Linked DNA regions of Astyanax mexicanus. The protein of the gene in region 1 purifies or fractionates together with the protein of each later gene. This does not show direct contact. Links are inferred from orthologs where the notes say so. Each region holds a gene or a part of one and is shown on either strand. Other genes may lie near its edges.

Evidence for each region.
Region 2: the proteins of fam53c (region 1) and plk1 purify together in Homo sapiens (affinity purification with mass spectrometry; 3 studies listed by BioGRID and IntAct, counting the BioPlex papers as one, with this or other methods). This does not show direct contact. The link is inferred for Astyanax mexicanus from reciprocal best matches to the Homo sapiens genes FAM53C and PLK1.

The regions. Positions count from the first base shown.
Region 1 is NC_064424.1:10,761,505-10,772,091, forward strand, and holds the start of fam53c (protein FAM53C), read left to right. Parts: upstream 1-5,684; 5' UTR 5,685-6,152; intron 6,153-8,318; 5' UTR 8,319-8,497; intron 8,498-8,608; 5' UTR 8,609-8,667; coding exon 8,668-8,674; intron 8,675-9,991; coding exon 9,992-10,587. Other genes in the region: zmat2 (zinc finger matrin-type protein 2), read right to left, coding at 428-445; slbp2 (stem-loop binding protein 2), read left to right, coding at 1,936-1,982, 2,081-2,215, 2,362-2,436, 2,549-2,635, 2,745-2,891, 3,000-3,167, 3,778-3,919, 3,997-4,167.
Region 2 is NC_064428.1:16,133,648-16,144,017, reverse strand, and holds the start of plk1 (serine/threonine-protein kinase PLK1), read left to right. Parts: upstream 1-6,063; 5' UTR 6,064-6,393; coding exon 6,394-6,756; intron 6,757-8,201; coding exon 8,202-8,370; intron 8,371-8,462; coding exon 8,463-8,607; intron 8,608-8,873; coding exon 8,874-8,967; intron 8,968-9,625; coding exon 9,626-9,848; intron 9,849-10,370. UniProt on the Homo sapiens protein: Serine/threonine-protein kinase that performs several important functions throughout M phase of the cell cycle, including the regulation of centrosome maturation and spindle assembly, the removal of cohesins from chromosome arms, the inactivation of anaphase-promoting complex/cyclosome (APC/C) inhibitors, and the regulation of mitotic exit and cytokinesis.

The DNA.
Region 1 (10,587 bases):
AGATTTGGAGATTATTCGCTAATTAGTTAGGGTAGCCACGGCTAGCTGGGTATCCATAAACAATAAAACACCGTGACAATAACCTGTTGTCTAACATGCCAGCTATATAACGCCTACAACATATATGGTTTAGATATTCAGTTATTGTCAGCAGCTCCTTTAACAGCATTACAGATCTATAACTGTTGTTGGATAAATCATTAAATTTTCACTGAACACTGACAAATGTTTAGTTAGCTTAGCTAGCTAGCTACCTAAGCTAATGGCCACAGGAGCGTGTTTTAGCACGGTAACGTTGTAGTTTATAGTTTATTCAGCCGGCTATGTTACAGTCTATCAATTACAGCATTTACTGAATACATTAAAACAGATATAACCTTGCAGACATTAATATAACTAATAAAAAAAAAAAAACAATATAACTCACCCCACTGCCTGACGCCATGTTGCTGACCAACGAGATCTTCTTCCTGTCTGGAGAAAAACAACAAGGCAAAATAAAAGCTCTGTGGGAACTGTGTGATTAAAGTGAAGGTGAGTTCTGTGTTAATTTGTCTCATTTATTTCAATCTACACAACTTCTCACACACGGTTTGCTGAAAAAGGTAAAATAAATAAATACAATAAAATAAATAAGAATACTATAAACAAGTAACAGGCAAACACCCACCCATTCAGAAAGAACATACAAATCAAATAAGTACAGATGTACAGGAGAATGAAAAACGTGGCTGCATGTTTCCAATTAGTATGCAAAAAGAACACAATATATACAACATAAAATAAAATGTAAAAAAAATGTTAGTTTTTTTCATAGGCATTGACATTTTTTGTGGACAATATACCATCCAAGAAATGATTGTGATAAAGGATAAAAGCAACACTTTTATAGCCTTGTAAGACTATGATTGCAATTAATAATAGTTTGGGAAATAAATTATTTTTTTCTTCACCTACTGCAGTCCACACTGTGTGTATGGAGCCTTAAATACAGTTCAATGCTATATATGTGAACAAACATACAAATAAACATGCCTATTTTCAATATTGTCATTTCAAAAAATTATATTCTTTAAATATGTCAGTAATTATCAAATACGATTTCCATTTAAGTTATGGATATGTGTTACTATTTTGTGCACCGTTTATCTATTTAAAATAAACAACATCCTTACAAAAAAATGCACCAATACAAATTCAGTTCAGGTTATTATAATGGGAATACAAGATACTACTAAACACTGCTACTTAAAGGAGCAGTTTCTTTTGACTTCACAATAGCATGATAAAACAATGTAAGTGGAATACATAATTGGATAAAATATTGTTTAGAAAAACAAAACGTGAATACAACAACATTTGTTTGTGATCAATTATTACAATTAGTACAGACGACTACTTGATGATATGTATAATATGTATAATCCTTCATGTGTATATTAAGTTAAACATTAACAGATATTAATTTTCAGAGCTTCTGCTGGCTATGCTGTCTTTAATACTGTTATGTTAGTAATATTAACCCAGATTGAGCCAGTGCGTTTTTCCAAGAAACATTGGCTTTTAACATATTACCTATTTAATGTGAACAATATTTAGTGTAATCAAATTTGGAATTTTGGTTTTCAAGTAAAATATGGTTAATTTATTATAATTAACTTTTTTAGTACAACTATATTGTGCCTCTATTTTGATGAAAAAAAAAAGTGTTTACTTTAATTTATTTTTCCTTTTGTGGGCTCTAGTCAATATTGTATATGATCCAAACACCGTGCTTGTGCCTGTATTTTTTTTTTTTTTTAACTTTACTTTAAAAGGGGTCAATTTGACCGGCTACGTAACACGTGGGTTAATTGTGTAGCCCCGCCCCTTATCCACCTGATGCTGATTTAAAGGTCTTTCAAACTATGCGGCATACTAGGTGGCAGAGTCAGCATGACAGCACGGATTGAAACTGCACTTCATAGCCCTTTGGAGTCAAGGTCCAGTAGACTTACTTACTTCTGTGTGTTGTTGCTGAGTGTAGAACACTTTGGGATTTAATCTTAATCTGGTTTCCTTTTGTTTAATTTAATTTTAGGGGCCTGTCTCTTCCCTTGTGGCCAAACATTCCAGAGTTACCTCATGATTTGAGGGTCAGACCACCTCTTGAGCCAGGCAGTCCAGAGCCATGGCTTCTCCCAGGTTGCAGCTCGGTGTATGACAGCCTGGTCAGGTAAGAAGGTAAAGATTTAAGCCGTTTGTTTTAAAGAACAAATGAGCACCAAGCACTTTTGTTTTGAACGGACATTGTAATGCTTTGTATTTTGTGGTTAATTATAAAATCTGTTTGTTTTTCTGTATTGCTGTGCATTTGAATAGCTCTAGAACCCCAAGGCCGTCCTCTGTAAGTGAAGAAAGGAATACCACCTCCTCCATCATGTCCAAGCCTCGCAGGTCTTGACTTTATTTATCAGCTCTATAATTAAGAATATTGTGAATTATGTCTTGATTATGCATGGCCTCAGTGCTAATTTTTATTTTTTTTTTCCCTCTTTACAACTCTAAGTAGATCCTCTATTCTTGAGAGGTGCATTCTCAAGATATCTACAGCTAATGTGGCTGTTGGGACAGAGGATCTAGATGATATCAAGAGGTCAGGTGCAGACTTTGAAATGTGCAATTTGTTAGGGTGACTAATATTGTGAAGCCTGTTCTAGGATGTGGATTTCTCTGTGGTTATCAAAGCTAACAAACCTTCTTAGGTCACCGTCAAGACTCCGATGGTGTACTCAAAATATGGACCCATCTCATTTTGAGACCAACGAGTCGGTTTTGAAGCGCAGACAGAAGCAAATTCAGTATGGAAAGAACACCTGTGGCTACCAGAACTATCTGAAGCACGTTCCAAAGTAAGAACAGACCTACAGACCTACATACCTTTTTACTAGCCTTAAGATAATTAGGCTTGTTTTTTTACTTATTACTAGCTTTTTTTTTCTCTGTGCTATAACTTTTAGGCGCCTTCGCATCCCTGGGTTTCACCCTTCCACTCCAAACAAATACCGCAAGTACAGCCGACGGTCTTGGGACATGCAAGTCAGGCTTTGGCGGAGAGCGCTACATGCTTGGGACCCACCTTTGACTTCCCAAGGGAACAATGAAGGACAAGACCCAGTTGATCAACTGTATGTGTAGGACTGGTATTGTATTGTGTGATGTTAAATTTAGATCATAAACATTCTGCAGATGTAGTCTTATGTTTGAAGACTTGTGCTGTGTTCCATTTACCTCAGCTGTTTGAATTGAGAATTACTTGACACCAGATTGGAGCATTCCAGTATGCCATAAAATATTTTAGATAATGTTTCACTATTTAAAAAAAAAAAAAAAAAAAAGTCAGCTATAGCCTTTGGAGTTTACTGCAACTGGTTTGATTTATCATTAACATTGTCCCAGGTTGGCATTGTGCAGTATTTAATTTGAGTACCATGAAATCATGTCTGTAGATAGATGGAATACGGACAGTACAGCAACTGATTTTATGAGACGCTAATGTATAGACTTGGTGATAAACTATTTAATACGACGCTTTTATTACTCTTGACTTGCATTGCAGCCATCTTGGATTATGAATTCTTGGTTAGTGGGGTTCTCTGAACACTTCTAATAAATAAATCTGATCTGTGAACATTTCCTAATTGGATCTAGCTAATTCTTCTTTGGTTCAAATGGAATACAGCATAAGACCTTTTTAAGGAGTTTTAAGGTTAACCTGTTGCATGCTAATTCTCTTAGGCAGGACCTGCTTGAGAAAATGAATACTGAGCTGGGAGAAGAAAAGGAAAGGACGTTGGATGTATCTGACTCAAGTGCTTCTGTACTTTCTCAACCTACTGAAGGCTTAGGCAATGGCTTCTGGAAGCCTCTTGCTCCTCAAGTAAGTAGAACAGAAAAGTTGATTTATTGTGTTTGTATGAATAGGGTGTCCTGATGCATGTTCTTATTTACCTACAGGCTGATTTAACAGGCCAGCAAAGCCAGACTTCTGGACTGGGCTATTCCTTTAATAGTCATCTAACTGCTGAGGAGAATGTCCTTGGATGGCTGCGATTTCTCTTGGAGACTGACCATGCACGCAGCGAAGTTGCCCCGGAGAGTGAACAGCCACTTTGGCGATTTTACTGATTGTACCATGATGTCTTGTGTAGACCATGTGTAAAGCTTGTTTTCCAGGAATAAATAATGACCCAGGAATGGCGTCTAAGATATGATCAAACATGTACTTGGATCTTAATGTTGAACACTGAGCACGCTGATGGTAGTTTTGCATCAAAACCCCTGTAATTCAGATCACTTAACTGTTGAAACCACTAAAATTTGCACTTTTCTTTTTTTCACTACTTGCTCGTGTTTTGTTCCTTCACTGGATATTCCCTCACTAGTATAGACACTTCTTTTCCTAAAGGCACTTTTTTTGCTGTTTTGATTTTGTGAGTTTTCCTCGTCTCCCTGTTTCACTGTAGTCAGGTTGTTTGGGGGAAGATTGTTAGCCTTGTTTTGAAATTTGAGTATTTTTGTATGACTTTAAAAGTAGTGGAAAGCAAAACCAATAAAGATATGTTAAATGTTTGCCTTGGTAATTCATAAAGTCAAGAGGGCCAAGGGGTGGGGGAGCAACCATTGGTACACAAAAGTTTAAAAGGTGAAAAACTAGCAGTAGTGTCCTTCAGTGTTTTCAGTTTGACAGACGATAGTCAAATTAACTTTATTTAGCACTTTCTACAAGCCCTTTTTTTCCCTTTTAATCTATTTACATTGTACTAAAATTAATTTTCAATGGGCATATATACGGCTGAAACAGGGACCCTGGTGCATCCTAAATGTATCAAAATTAACATTTTAACATAACATATATAGCCATTATTTTTTTTAGAAAAGTGTGTTAATATAGGACCCTGTGGCACGGCCTAAGCTTTTGTCCTTAATGGCATTTATTTCCCACTGGACTGTGTTTTTGCAGTGTAGATTCAAAGCCCCAACCACTGTCAAACATTTAAATATAAATCAATAAAAATGTCATCAATGTTACAGTTTAACCCCTTCACAGGCCAGGATTTTTGCCAATTGTCTGCCTGACATTACAACACTAAATATTGAGGATTTCTATTCAAGCGTCACATGAAAAACGTTTATGTTTGATAAGGAACATTATTGAAAAACATAATTGTAATTGAAAATATTTAAGTAAATCTGCTAATGTCAAAATATAATAAATAAAATCATAAAGTTGTCTCTTTCCTGAACTTTATTTTAAATTCAATATTTTACTAAAAATGCAAATCGAACAGTTTGTCCTTCAAACCTTTAGTTTCATTATGGTTGTCTAGTTTGTACATCTATTTTTAAATCTGCAGATAATAAGATTTATTTATTACACTTATAAATGAAGCCTGTAGGCATGTTAAGGGGTTAAACACTAACCAATGAAAATTAGGCTGTGTTAAATAAAAGATTGTTTAAAGGTTGTCTTTTCCCATCAAAAAGCTAATGTAATGCAACGAAAAAAAATATATTTTAACGTTAAATCAATGTTCTCTCTCTTGCTTGTTATCAGTGTACTGTCTGTGGTGGTGGTGCTGCTGCTGCTACCTGATAGAGGAACACTAGAGGGCGTGGACGGGGGTCTGCATGGTGTGTTTCGGCGGGGGCGGGGGGGCTGGAGGCTCTGCAGATGGAAGCCACTGGATTTCTACGGGCGTTCTTATTTTCCTAGTGGGAGACGATGGGAAGGCGGTGAAATGTCGAATTTATAGCAGATATTCGTGTTGTGTTAGATCGCTCCTCACACTCCGCTCGCGGGGGTGGTTCGCGTCGGCGTGCGGCGGGTCTTCAACGTTGATTTAACGGTATGCTGGTGTTAGGTGTAGAGAACGGGGATTGACAATAGCTAACGTTACGCCATGGGTACCCTGGACGGGTAGCCCGCTAGTTCGCTAGCTAGCTGGCTAGCGTAGCTAGTTGTTGGTCTGAATTGTTTGATCTTGTGCAGCTAGGCAATGGTAGACCAACGTTAGCTGGCTAGCAACTTGCTAGGTTAGCTAGTTAGCTAACAGCTAGGCTCCACGGGCCCTGTGTGTGAGACGGCTGTGCTGGTCTCCGTCGGCGGCGAGGTAAGTCAGAATCGTTAAATGTCCTCCATGTCTTCAGCTGTATATGTATATGTATGTGTGTTATTGTGTGGCTAAAATATCAATCAATTATTATCAGAATTACACACGCCAGGCTGTTCAATCAGCCCTATTAAGATAATCGATCGTGTGGTAGATAAGTTAGATATTTATTTATCGTGCACGGTGTTTTTGCATTGTAAAATGTATTGCTTTGCATTATTGGCCTCAACTGGTTAAGCTAAGCTACGCTAGTCTATCCAAGCCGTCGCTGTATGTCCTGATTTAGCTAGGGTTGCAGGCGTTAGTGGGCCTGTGCTGCTTTCTAGGTAGCCAAGCACCCAGCCAACATAACGTTAGCTAATAATGCTCATCACGGGCTAGGTTATGGCTAGGATGTCTTTCTCGGCTAGCTGGATAGCCTTCCATTGATATGATGCTATTTTGAGGAACACCAGTTCATCCATCGTCAGTAAACCTAGGGTAGCTAGCTAGCTAGCTAACTAAATAGACACAGTATAGCTAACCTAACTAGCTTGATAATTAGTGTTGTCTATTTTGATAAGCTAGCTAGCTATGTATCGTTAACGTTAGCTAACGCTAGCTATATTTATCCTCATACGCAGACACTCATTAAGAATCTACGGTAGCTAGCGTTAGCTATTTAGCTAGCTTCAGTTGTGTGCTCTGTGACGGACCGAGCGACTAGCTTGGTGTTCCGTCGTTTTGTGCCATCCCGTTAAAACGTGCTAGTTAATTAATTACTGTTGTTATATATTTTTTATCTAACTAGCTAGCTATTTTAAAGCTTAAGTTCTAAAAAACGCTAACCTGGTTAGTTATTTGTATTATCTGGCTTATATGGCGAAAGCATCGTATCAGAATATCAAAAATGCTCCTAGATAACGTTATCTTATCATTAGGATTTTTGGGTGGCCCAATTCACTAGCCAACCTAACCTAACGCTATATCAGGGGAGCTTACGCTAATTGATATGATAGTTAAATTGTGTTTTTGTATTTTTTAATCGTCATTTCTACGTTTGTAACACTTGAGCCAATAATATTAGTAAGCTGCAATTGTTAAATGCCGACGAGAAAAAAAGGAATTCACATGAAAAACACGTGAAAACATTAAAAATATGAAGGAGGGGGGGGGGGCACAAATCGACAGAACACCGGCCGGTGTTCTGTCGATTTGTGTTACCCGTCAATTTGTGCTACGCAGCGTCTCTGCGCATGCGCTGAACAACGGCACTTAAATGTTAACGTTTTTTTTTATATATACTGATTGTGTTTTCCGCGGGCGCATTATATAATCTGAGTTTATTGTTGTACGGTTATTATTTGCTTTAATGTTACGAAAGTGTAAATGGCATTTCAAGTAAAAATAAATAAATAAAAATACAAAATACCTCACTTGGTTTATATTTATCTTTCCTTATCTTTACTGCTGTAGGCCAGTCAGATATCCTGCCTGCTGTTTTATTTAGGTAGCTTTTTCTATATTTATATATTTAACGAGGTAGCACAAATCGACAAAACACTGGACGGCCAGAGGGACTTGGTTGGATTTGTGGTCTGCTACTATTTAGCAGCTTAACTAACGCATAATGTTATTTTCCAGTAGGAATTCTTAGCTTTTTAGCTATGTCTAGTCATTTGCATATATAATATATAAGAATTTGGCTGCTGCTCTTTTGCCATTTAGCTAACTAAAACCAGAACACAGGTTTGCCCCATACTCTTAAAAAAAAAAAAAACACATAACCTGGCTAACAGATGTAGCTGGCTAGCTACTAAAGCCTGGGGTAGTAAATAATGTTTTAAAGCCAGATTTTTTTAAACTAAATGTCTGTAGAGAGCCTGGTGTTCATGCCATACAAGATAAATGTCATGCAGGATGCTATTTTACTTTTGATGTCACTTTTTATTTATTTATTTTTAATATTATTATTGTATTTTTTTTTATATACACTTATCTTCACTACTGTTTTATAACTGTCCCTTATAAGCAGCAGGAGTCCTGTATCTAGATATGCAGGCTGATGGTTTGCTCATGTTCTATGTAAATTAATGATATAAATAAGCCTAAGGATAAGAATTGTGCATAAGCCAAATGCCTTTAAAACGCTAACCAAGACGTTTCTTTCTATTGTGTCCTCCTCAGGTAATGAAGTCATCATGTTGGCCAGAGCTGCTCTGCCTGGGGAGCCTGTGCTACCTGTAATTCCCTCGGCTGGTTGACTGCTTCACTTTAGACCTTCCCGCCTGCCAAGCCATGGTTATGCTAGATGTTGAGCCGATCCCTAGTCTTGACGTTAACCTCAGCCACTGGACATCGCTCTGGTAAAGCTTGGTTTAGTATTTACTGTTTTTTGATTTCTTTAATCCAAAAGTACACAGAATTCATTCAAACCAATCCTGTTCACTCATGTCTCTGCAATGTCTCTCTTTCAGCCACTGCATGATCCTCACAGCCTCTCTGAAAACTGCTGGCCCACAGTTCAGATGGATTGATGCCTGGTAAGTATTCAGGTATCCAATTATGTGTCTAGAAGCAAGATTTGAAGACTGTAGCAAAATATTAATAAAAAACTTTCAGTAGTCCAGTAAAATCAATGTCATATTATACATACATACAGTTTAGGAAAATCCAAACCTACAAAGAATGGAGTAGTCATTCTTATCATAGGAACACTTCAACTGTGAGAGACAGAAAAAAATATAATGTATAATGTATGTATAATATAAGGGGAAAAATGTATTTTAACCCTTTGGAATTTCAGATCCTCCTCCAAGTCAAGAGTATTAACAAATATTATGTGCTTAAAAAGATACAATAATAACCATAAAAAAACTTTATAGTGCTAGTTGGAAAAGTATGGAAGTTCTTGTATTAATTACCTAAAAAAAGCTAATTAGAATCAAGTAATACACTCTTGCTAGTTTGGGGATGTGGACTTAAGCTTATTTGACTGTTTAAATCCATGATATGCCAAAAGACCTTTGGAGGATCTAAAACAGCTACAAGATGATTTCAAAGATCTTTAGAAATTCACCAGTCTACAATGAGGCAAATAATCTACGAATAGAGACAATTTGGGACCGTGGGTACTTTGCCAAGACGTAAGTGCCCAGTTAAAATCACCCCAAGAGCACAAAATACTTATCAATGAGGTAAAGAAACAACACTGAAAGACAGTTTTTAAAGGCATTGTTAGTACAGGCCAACGTCTGTGTTCTTGAGTCTACAATTTGTAAAACTTTGAACAAGGAGGGTGCCTGTGATTTAAATCTAAAGAATTCTGCTCTGACTTCTGGGATGTGCATATGGGGTCTTCTGCTTCTGCCTGTGGAGTCGCTTGCCTGTTTACACAGACAATTTTAGCCAAACACCAGTGGTCACAATCATTACCACTTATTGTTCTGTCCACTGTGGATGGTAATGCCTTCTGTGAAATGTTTCTGGTACACATGTAACACTGTGGATTGAGGAATTTTAAATGCCCGCACAGCTTCTACACAATGTCTCATCTGTTTGCCACCTGACATTAGGCCTCGCTTGCTTGCCATGAGCATGCTGGCCAGTGTTCAACCTCACGCAAAAGGTAACTTACACAGGTGTGGGTGTTCCGAAACCATTCCCTGAGGTAACACTTCAGTGATTGGCTTACATTCTGCTATACCATGACTTGTTGGTGTATATTTAAGGTGCATAAAATGCATGTGAAGTAGAAATCTTCACTCTAAAAACTTCAGTGCTATATTTTGTATTGCCAGAAGTATTTTTGTTGTTAATCGATTGTTTGTGTATAATATTATTATTCTCATGTTTCACAGAGAGCAGTTATTGGCAGCTCTGCCCTTCCTCAAAGTCTGGCCTGCAGGGCGTGCTGAGCTCCAGCTTCCCCCCCGGCCCTGTGCCTCTTGGACCTTCTGCTGCCCACCTGCCGGAGGGGGACGCCCTGAATCGTCCACTTGCCCCGAGCACCTCTGTGACGGACCTGTCTTTTCCCGGGCCACCCCCTCCCCCCCCGCCACCCCCCAAACGCCACTGTCGTTCGCTGTCTGTACCGGAGGACCTTTCACGCTGCCGGTACACCTGGCGGCCGAGTGCCTCCAAGGTCTGGACACCAGTGAACCGTCGATGCCACAGTGGAGGGGGCGCGGGGGGGCCATGTCCGCTGCGTGCCCCCAGTTCCTCTCTCAATTCGTCTCTGCATTCTTCCTCCAGCCCTACCTTCTTCAGCTTGGCCCTTTCCCCAGATTCCCCGCTGCCTTGGAATTTCCCCTGGGACCCGAGTGAAACCGCTGGAGGTGGTGCGTGTTGCTGCTTCTTCCCTTCACCCTCTTCATGCTCTTCCTCACCTTCTCCTCTTCACCCTCCTCATCCTCCACAGCGACGCTTCTCACTCTCCCCTGTGCTCATCCGTGAA
Region 2 (10,370 bases), on another chromosome or scaffold:
CTCTTATTTTTGTTTCTGAAAGGTGACAAGCTTAAACTTAATTTACCGAATGTACAATGTAAAGAGCCACAAAAGTATCAGGATAGAAAAATAATATTTGAACTTATTTTGCCTTTAGTAAATAAAGTATTTCCAACATTTATTTTATTTCGTATATTGTTTCCTCACTTTAATAAATAGCTCCTTAAATGTATTAAACTGTTTTCCTACTTGCTTCCTCAGTTTGTTTTATTGGATTTAGCTAATAAACTATTCCCTCAGTTTAACTAAAGCAGAGAGAGAAATTCATTAAACAAAATTAAAAAGGGAACCATTTGAGGTAAATGGGTTTAGCTGTTAAATAGCCGTGGTTACTAACTGTTATATGTTATTTTTCTACCGTGGTATTTCAGAGGCTCTATAGAAAGGGTTGCTTTAGTTTTTATTTTAAGAAGAGAGACTCATAAATACAACCCGTGTGTCATGCTATTACACGGCTTCACACTGACTGACACAGCGAAATATTACTGTTTTATAAATAATTGAAAAGCGTAACCTTCTCACTGAACTTCTGAATTTGTTTATTATACAATAACAGACCGTATTTGATAGCTGTCACTCGTTTTCTAAACAGCGAGTAGCAGATAAACACAATTTATCCGGCGAGTTAGCGTTAGCTTTCCTAACCCAACATAGCTAAAGCTAACTTACCTAACTAACTAGCAAGTTATGTGGTGAATTTATAGAGCCGTTAGCGGTTAGCCCGCACTGAGGTCCTGTGACAGAAGGATAGTTGGGTGTTATAGTGCCGATTAAGCGAATTTTTAACGCATAAAGAGGAATATTTACCTGAGAGAAGTGTAGAAACCCGTAGTTAAACTACAGAACCGAACACTGTTCATACCTGCTGCTGCTCTCTGTCGCCATAACAAATCTCCCGCTACTTCTCTGGGCAGGGAAGAGTAATGGATGTCAGATCGTTTTTTAATTATTATTTATTTCGATATACTTTTAGTTTTAATATAATGAACTCAGTTCTGCTGATCTGTCACTGTGTTTAAATAGGACACTGTTTTTTAAACATTATTTAATCCACTATTTTATTTTCTCGGGTCTCAACTATTGTAGTTTTAAATGCGAGGCATTTCAGCGCAGTCACGTCGAAAAAAACTACAACTCCCATGGTGCCGTCACAATTCTCCGCAGGGAAAATAATAGAGAAAAGAGCAGCAGGATACGGGATACCGTTCACCTTACACTTTAAAGTAGTATTATAGCTACACTATATATTTCCTAATGCTTATGGACACCATATGTGTACAGATGAATAAATGCACAAACTTAGCTTGTTCAGACCCAGCAGAGAAGATCTGCCAACAGAATAGGGACAGAACAGGAGACTCTGTGGAACAAAGGAACAAATATTAACTTGTTGATTACTCATTGGTTTCAGCTGCAGCAACACTGCGTTCTGATCCACTCCTTTACGCACACCCCAAAGAATAACAGAACTTTACCTTTTGGCTATTATATAGTACATTTTCTGCACTTAAGTATTACAAAAGTTTATTGTAAACTGTGTTACTGAAGTACTAAAAGTAAAAATACAGTACTGTGTTATGTAGTTACAGTACGTACTGAAAGCAGTGAAAAGTTCCCAGGGTGAAAGTTCAGAATGGGAGCAGTGTTGTCTTCTTCTAAGATTAGCTTGATCTCTTGGTTCCTTCAGCGATGAGCAGCTTTATCAAACCCGGTGACAATGCAGAGCATCTACCACTGATAATGGCTGATAATGTGTGAAATAATGCATTTTCAAATCGCTGGGCTTGTTTATTTGTAGGACCGCGTCTATGTCTGTGTGCCTATGGGATCCAGTGCCCCCCAGTGGTGTTTAATGACTAGTTAGCTAACCTAGCTAACTAGATAACCTAGCTAACTCTAATGCTAACACTAAACCAGACTTATCAATCTAGCTTACTTTAACTAACGCTAACACTAAACCGGACACTTATCAAACTAGCTAACCTAGCTAAACTAGCTAACATATCCGTGTTACCTGCGTTACCTGCCTCTGAACAAGTTTATCTTCCTAAAGATCTTGGTAACAAGACACATGCCACAAAATATTTTTTTTCACATATTTCGAGTTTTGTTTTTCATGGTAGTGTAGCTGAACTTATCCCATAAATCATGTTTATTCAGAAAGTGGGAGAGGAGGAGCTGCTGTGTGAATCGGCTGTGTGGGGTATAGAGTAAGGGCCTTGGGGGAACCGGTCATAAATTTATAAAACGAACTAAGTTTTTTGAAGTTTATAGAATTAATATCTTACCAGGGATGGTCATGCCAACAGAATCATAACAGTAATTAGGTTGTTTTTCCTCTACCAGCACTGGAATACTATTGCTTTCAACTGAAAAGAAAAAAATCATAAGACTGACACTTAAAACAAATCTTTTTTGAGCGGCTGCCCTGTTGTATAAAGCAAATGTCATCAGTAGTGAAGAAAAGTATTTCATCAGCCCAACTCCAAGTATCTGCCCCAAAGCAGTTGTGACAGGTAGAGTTTGCCAAAAGTGGTTGAAATCTGGTACTAGAAGAGACTTGTGCAACGCTGCTTTAGGATGTGAACAGACATGTTTACAACAAAGCTAGTAATGACTGAACTCTCCATATTGGCCAGACTCAGTGGGTTATGAGGCATAGAGCAAGATCTCACTCACTGCACTGCATAAAAACATAATCTGGGTTAATGGAGTGTATGTTTACCAGCATCAGGAAAATCTGCAAAGACTAAAATCAAGAAGAAAGTTAGTGGTCATTCCTTTTTTTAGGCTACTGTAAACAAAACAGCATTTTAGATGTGCAACACATTCCAGAATTAAAATTGTTACATGCCTTAAAACTTAACTATGCAAAAAAAAAAGGCTTATATTAAGTTAGAAGCCATGGGTGAGTCTAAGCTCTAGGTTCTGAGCACCTAATGAACACAGCCTCACTGCACAGGAGGGGTGCGTGTTTCATATCAAAAGAAATTCCTTTAGATTCAAATCAGACACACAAACTATTATGCACAGAGGACATGTGTTACTTTCATTCTAAAACATGTATTCACCAAATGCACGCACACACACACACACACACACACACACACACACACACCAGGTGGGACATTACCTGAATCTTTTTCTGTTATTCTTTAACATTAATTAGCTGTTACACAAACAGGCAGTACTAGTCTAGCACACTGTCTTTAATATTAACACACAGAGCAACTAATGGCAGCAGAGCAAGTCTCTTGCACACACAACAGTGGACAGTGGCTGATAATCAGTCTATAGCATAAGCTAAATAATAAAAGTCTCAGATATTAACAGCATATAGAGTGCTGCTTAATTTTGTGTGTGTGAGAGAGCAAAATAAAAAGTTACTATTTGCACTGCATGGTATTTTCATTAATAAAATTCTGTTTAATAGTCAACTTTCTAAGATGTTTATATTTTTAGCTCATGAGACATAAACTTTAATCTGAGAAACAACAAAAACAATACTTTTTGCAGTGCTGGGTCAGCTATGCCACCAGTGGCATCAATGTATGTGGACTTGGAAGCATCTGGGGTGGACCACCACACAGTGGTAATGTGTTCTTTTCCAGAAGAAAGAATTCCATACTGGATCTGCAGGTAAGGCAAAATAGGATTTTGACACAACACCAATTATTTTATCTTCTGTATTGTTTAAATGTTGATGTTCTATAGAGACGTCTGTGCATTTTTAAACAAGACAATGAAAAAAAACACTTGCTGCACACATTATTACAAAACATGGTCATGGAAGAAGTGGGTATGGATACTGGACTGGCCTGGGTGCAGGCCTAACCTGTTAACAATAGATAGATCAATTAGAAACAGAAAAATGCAACAATGACTTTCTTGTAATGTTGTCAGGAAGAATGGGACAAAATACCACCTAAAACATTTAATTGCCTGGAATGCAGCACCTATAAGGAATTGCATTAATACAAAGCAGGTGTTACAGGCATGAAATGCAGGAATGGATGCATAGCCTTACCAAACATTAAACATCTTGGGTTCATTCTGTCTGCAATCAAATGAGATGAAAGTGAGAATAGAAGTAAAAAACACTGCATGTTTTGGGGGGGTTATGCATTTTACATACCATCTCAACTTTGTTTTAAATTAAAGGTTGTACATAGTCAGCAGGTAAACCTGTCAGACACCTGGACCCTCGTTACTGAAGTACCACAAGCTTGTGTGCACTCGTGCCTTCTGTTAAATCTGTACACCAATCACTGTGTTTCCAAGGAACCATCCATGACAACCATGATGTTTGTAGATCATGTCACTGTGGTCAACCTCCAAACCAAGAATGAAGAGTCTCCTTACAGAAAGGAAGTCAAGCAGCTGGTGTCTTGGTGCAGTCCAGGCCACCTGTTGCTGACCCCACAAATGACCTGATGTGGTGGTAGACTTCAGACACACTTACCTTCACTCCCCCTCTTCTGTGGATTTACATAAGTGTCTGGGCATCACCCTCTTCAAGGACCTGAAGGGGGATGGAACATGGTCTCCAGAGCGCAGCTTTGTGAGACAGCCTGAGCAAATTCCACTTGCCACAGACCCTAAGGACCCATCCCTACATAGCCATCATCATATTTATTTTCACATCATGTTCATTCATTCATTAAATCCTCTTTACTAGAATGAGACACATTCCAGTGCATTATCAGTATAGCAGAGAGGATGGCTGGGTGTATTCTGCCAAAACTTCAGTATTAAGATATCAGCAAGGTCAAGAAGTGCACTTGCAAGATTATATCTGTCCCCTCTTGTCCTGGTGACCCCCTCCTTCAAACACTTCCCTCTTGTAGAAGATTAAGAGCTATCAAAGCTAGCACAAATGCCGCTAACATGTCATCAACTGTAGAAAAAGACCTGGCAACTCTCTCTTTTTCATGCACAGTTTACAGCTTAAGTTAATGTATTATTTTCTTCTGAATATTTGTTAATAGCATGTGTATCTGTTCGTTCTGGACTGGGTTTTCCTACAGTGTAAGTAAGTAAGTAAGAACACAGATTATTCCTAACTCTCTCTCTCTCTCTCTCTCTCTAAGATTAACCTAATCCTGAGGTTCTGTTTAGACGACAGTATGGCACACATCATCATTCCATGCATGTGATTTCAAGAATATAATAATAATAATTTTATTATTCTAAAAATTTTAAATGGCCATTTATGTACATAAATGTAAAATTATAAATATTACTTTTTTCTTCTTTTTGTTTTGCTATTGATTATGGTCTATTTATCTTTAAGTAAACAAAACTAATCTTTAAAAAATTATCAATAATTAAAAAAAAGTTAAAAGTTATTTTATTGTATCAATAAATATTGTATGGTTTATGTGTTATACTGTGTTCTTATTATGTCTGTTTATTCATTGACAGACAAAAGTTACAACCAAAATATGTTACAAATACAGCACACGTTTTCAAAAAACTATATATATATATACATATACATTTTAATAATAACACATTTTAAATGTGTAATATTTAAATATATATAACTGAACAGACATAAAAGTGAAAATCATAGTTGTCAATTTCATTTCATGGATAAAATATTTTTTTTCCAATTTAAATGAATAGATAAAACAAGTAGCAAGTATCCTTACTGCAGTCATTATAATAAAATAAAATACAAAATGGACAATAAAATTATATATTTTATAGTGTTTAGTTTTGACCCATATCCTAAATGGGATCATTTCTAAAAATATTTGAATGGACACAGTTAAAGAATACTATATGATGTTTAACACATATATACAAAACCTTATTTTAATGAATGTAAACAACTGTTAGCTTTCGAGCCCTGAGGACTTTAATATACGACACATTTTAAAGCAGCACATCTCCCATGATCCTTTGCCGCTATCGCCTGGATTTCAAATCGCGAGAGCCAATCACAGGCGGGTCCGTGGCCACAGCCAATCAGAGGCGGTGCTCCGGCGAGAGCCAATCAGAGGCGGCGATAACGAATAAGGGCCGAATTTAAAAATGTTGTGTTGGTGCTGCGCTGAGAGACGCTGAGCGGGGACGGGGGTTGTAGAGAGAAGAAGCGGACAGGCGGACAATTTAGCGAGTTTCTGTTTAAAATACCCCGCTTACATTAACAGAAACTGGTGTACCCGAGTGGATTTGTGCTGGCTTGTGTGTTAAACCGGTTCAGGCGCGCTTAGTTCGGTTAGTTTTTATTCGAATTGCTCGGCCGGGCGGCTCGCCCTGTCTGTCCGGGTCTGAACTCGCTGTTTTCTGTTAGCAGTGTCGCAGAGATCCGTGTTTTGTTCGTGTTTCTCTTTAAATTAGCGTTATTTTGAGAGCGTATTCAGTATGAGCGCTGCAGTGGCGAAGGCGCCGAAGCCTTCGGTCAACGTAGACCCGAAGTCTGCGCCCCTGAAAGAGATCCCAGACATCCTGGTGGATCCGCGGACCATGAAGCGCTACATGCGGGGCCGGTTCCTCGGGAAAGGCGGCTTCGCTAAGTGCTACGAGATCACAGACATGGAGACGAAGGAGGTGTTCGCCGGTAAAGTGGTGCCCAAGTCTCTGCTGATGAAGCCGCACCAGAAGGAGAAGATGAGCACGGAGATCGCGATCCACAAGAGCCTCGACAACCCGCACGTCGTGGGCTTTCACGGCTTCTTCGAGGACGACGACTTCGTGTTCGTGGTGCTGGAGATCTGCAGGAGGAGGGTGAGTTATCCTCGCTTAGTTTAGCTGAGTGGGAGTAAAATATAAAGTGATTTTTTAAAGCTTTAGAAACACGTAATAACTGAGGCTAGCTTCACTAGCAAACTGGCTAATCTATCAAACCTAGCTTAAGTTAGCTGTCTCTCAGTCCTCACCAACGGTCGAATTCCTCAGTGAGGGTTAGTTAGCATTAGCCGGTTAGCTAACTGTTTGTTAGCTCTGAGAGGTGTGAAACCTCACTACTGTAAAGTTTAAATGTCATGAATATTATAACAGTGAGAAATTGGTGTCTGTAAGTGGGGTTAAAGTGTTTGTGGGTGTTTTTAAGAACCGTTTTGACCGGCTGTATCCGAGCCTCCTTTCCGAGATGTGGATTTTAAATGTGAGGATGTGACGTCAGAACCTCGACCGAGATGTTTGAAAATTTTCGTGAACTTTTTTTTCGCCCGTCAAAATCGTTAAATATAGTAAATAATGCTCAAGTTTCCACTTGAGAAGTATTTATAATACAGCATATTATAAATGCTATATGAAATACTTTTGTCTTGTTGGTGTTTCCTGCTGGTGTTTTCTCCTTTTTATTAGCTAACTTATCTGTTCTTCCTATTTATTATGTTTTTAACTAACCTAGATATATTGAGTTATATATATTTGCTGTTGTGGTGGAGTCGAAGTTGAACTTTAAGTCGCATTGTAATTTAGTAAAATGTAAAAAAAAATCACCATCTTTGTGCAGGGATTGTATGGTCATGAAAAACCTGGAAAAAACTTAAATATCAGTTTCCAGACCTAAATTAGTTTTGGAATACTAAAGAGAATTTTGAAAGTCATGGTCTACAAATCTGTTTCCATTTATGTATGGAGTATCTATTTCGAGCTAAGAAATGCCTCAGCTCAAAGTTTTTTTAAGTAATTTAGCCCTACACAGTAGAGCTTTTTGATTTTTTTTTTTGTTATTATAGTTTTGTAATTGTATTTTCTTTAGATGCATGTAAAAATACATTTAGGCTGTGTAACTCATGCAGTGGTAGGGTATTTTTTAAATAAAGTGTTTAGTTTTTACAGTAATGCATTTATGAACGTTTCCAGTTTTGCTGTAGATGCAGCAACTGGCTGGGGCACAGCCTTGACCTATTAGACACTTTTGACATGTTTAATTTCTTTTTTCTTTTAGAAACATGGAGAGAAATGACATTAGGTTATTTTATTTTTGCAGTTTGAAGGTGTAAAACATAGTTTTGTCAATTTCCATATCCCCTAAAGCTGCAAGTTTGTAACACGACAAGTTTTATTGTCAGGATTATATTTATCTTTAAGTAAGCAAAAACGTTAACACTATCAACAAGCTTTTTGTAATAGCCCTACAGCAGTGTCCCTATGCTGCTTCTTTGCTGATAATTATTTTATTATTTTAATATTTTTTTCCCCTTCCATTGTTCTTCTGTTAGTCTCTTCTGGAGCTGCACAAGCGCAGGAAGGCAGTGACTGAGCCTGAAGCAAGGTACTTCATGCGGCAGACAATCCAGGGAGTTCACTACTTGCACAACAACAGAGTTATTCATCGTGATCTTAAACTTGGAAATCTTTTTCTTAGCGATGATATGGAGGTGAAGATTGGTAAGCAGGCAAATTTGCTCACAACTTTTTGCCTAAAGTACAGTTCGACTTTACTCGTTACTTTATCCTATAACGCTTTGTTCTCTCCCAAGGTGATTTTGGTCTGGCCACTAAGATTGAATTTGATGGTGAGCGGAAGAAGACCCTGTGTGGCACTCCAAACTACATAGCCCCTGAGGTGCTGTGTAAAAAAGGGCACAGTTTTGAAGTTGATGTCTGGTCACTGGGTTGCATTCTGTAAGTCTGCTTCAGAATTTCTTGTGTTTTTACATTTTAAAAATGTTTATTGAACACTTTTTTTTTATATCCCAACATTTGTATGTACAAACAAAGCATATTGTTTCTCAGCATTGCTATTCTCATCATAAACTTGCATCATATCTGCAATTTTTAGGTTGTGCATGACTTCTGGCCACTTCACCATCACCATGACTTCACCATTATAGTGGCGTCTACAAGCAGGCTTTAAATTCACACATTACTAATCATAATGTTTCTGTTAGGTACACACTGCTGGTTGGTAAACCTCCATTTGAGACGTCATGCCTAAAGGAGACATATGTCCGCATCAAAAAGAACGAGTACTCTATCCCCAGGGTTGGTAACACTTCTAGTTCTTCACACTTTGATGCTTAGCTCCAGTTTGTGGCGGCTTCTAAAGGTTGTTTAAGGATTACATACGGTGCAACCCCGTAGTGTGCTGATGGAGAATAACAAAAAAGTTGGTGTCCTTAATGCTCACGTGTTGCTCAAGAACTTTGTTGCCACCTGAGGGGTCACCTGAGGTGATAATTGGCTTGGGTCTTCTGTATGGAAGTGATGTATGATATTTAATTTGCATGAGGGCAATGGGTTCTTTACCTTAAGGTACTGTTAGAAAACCTGTAGTTCCCAAACATTTGTGGATGTCCAAGTGACGTAAATTATGTTTTGGACATTACGAAAAATCAAGTAAACTTACTCCAGCTACAATGCTTGATATCTGAATTTTACAGAAGTCTACAAGGAGAGTGCTACACTAACACTGCTAAACAGCCAGTCTCGCAGAAATAATAAACGCTCCATTGCCCCGAAAAAGACAGTACCTAACAAAACCGCACCAGCCAGGAAAATTAGCTATGAGCTGTCTTGGCGTTAAACTACTTACTGACATCATTTAAAAAAAATATATTTAATTCATTACAATTTTTGATCTGATTGCTTGTTGGCATTACACTGACAATAACTTTCACTTTTTTTTTTCTTTTCTTTGTAGCAAATTAATCCAGTGGCGGCTTCACTGATTCGTCGAATGTTGCACGCAGACCCTACTCTCCGACCCTCAGTAGCAGACCTGCTTACAGACGAGTTTTTCACCTCGGGATACGTTCCCCTCAGGCTTCCTACCTCTTGCCTTACTGTGCCTCCCAGGTTCTCCATCGCCCCATCTAGTTTAGACCCTGGCCTGCTCCGTAGACCTCTCACTGCATTGAATACTGGTATGCTTGTCTTGTTTATTTTAGTGTGAATCGTGTGCCTTTAGGTTAAACAGTGAATGAATTTTTCTTCATTTTAGTTTAGCAGGTTAAAAAAAAATTAAAAACGGGGGTTCCTCACTTAAAAAAAAAAAAATTATAAATAGAATAAAAAAAACTATTGTAATATCAATTCTCAAAGTACATTGAATCATCATTAGTTATTAATCATAAAATGTGGGTGTGAGGGTTTTGCATAAGCAGCCATTGCAGCAAAACTTTTTCTAGTAGTGCCATACTTTTAAAGGTTTGTCCAAATACACGCCCATATTTACCACATTCCTCTTTATTCAAAATGCATTGCACTTCACTTGAAGAAACTGAGCTAATTATGTTGTGTGTTTAAAATGTGCATTAGGTCTGCTCTTTAAGCATTTACACTATGCTTTTCTGGGCATATCAAAACTCTATCTTGTTGCATTTTCAAAAATTACTACCCACACAGATTAGAAATCCAGTTGTATGGCTTCTTTTCTGACACCTTTT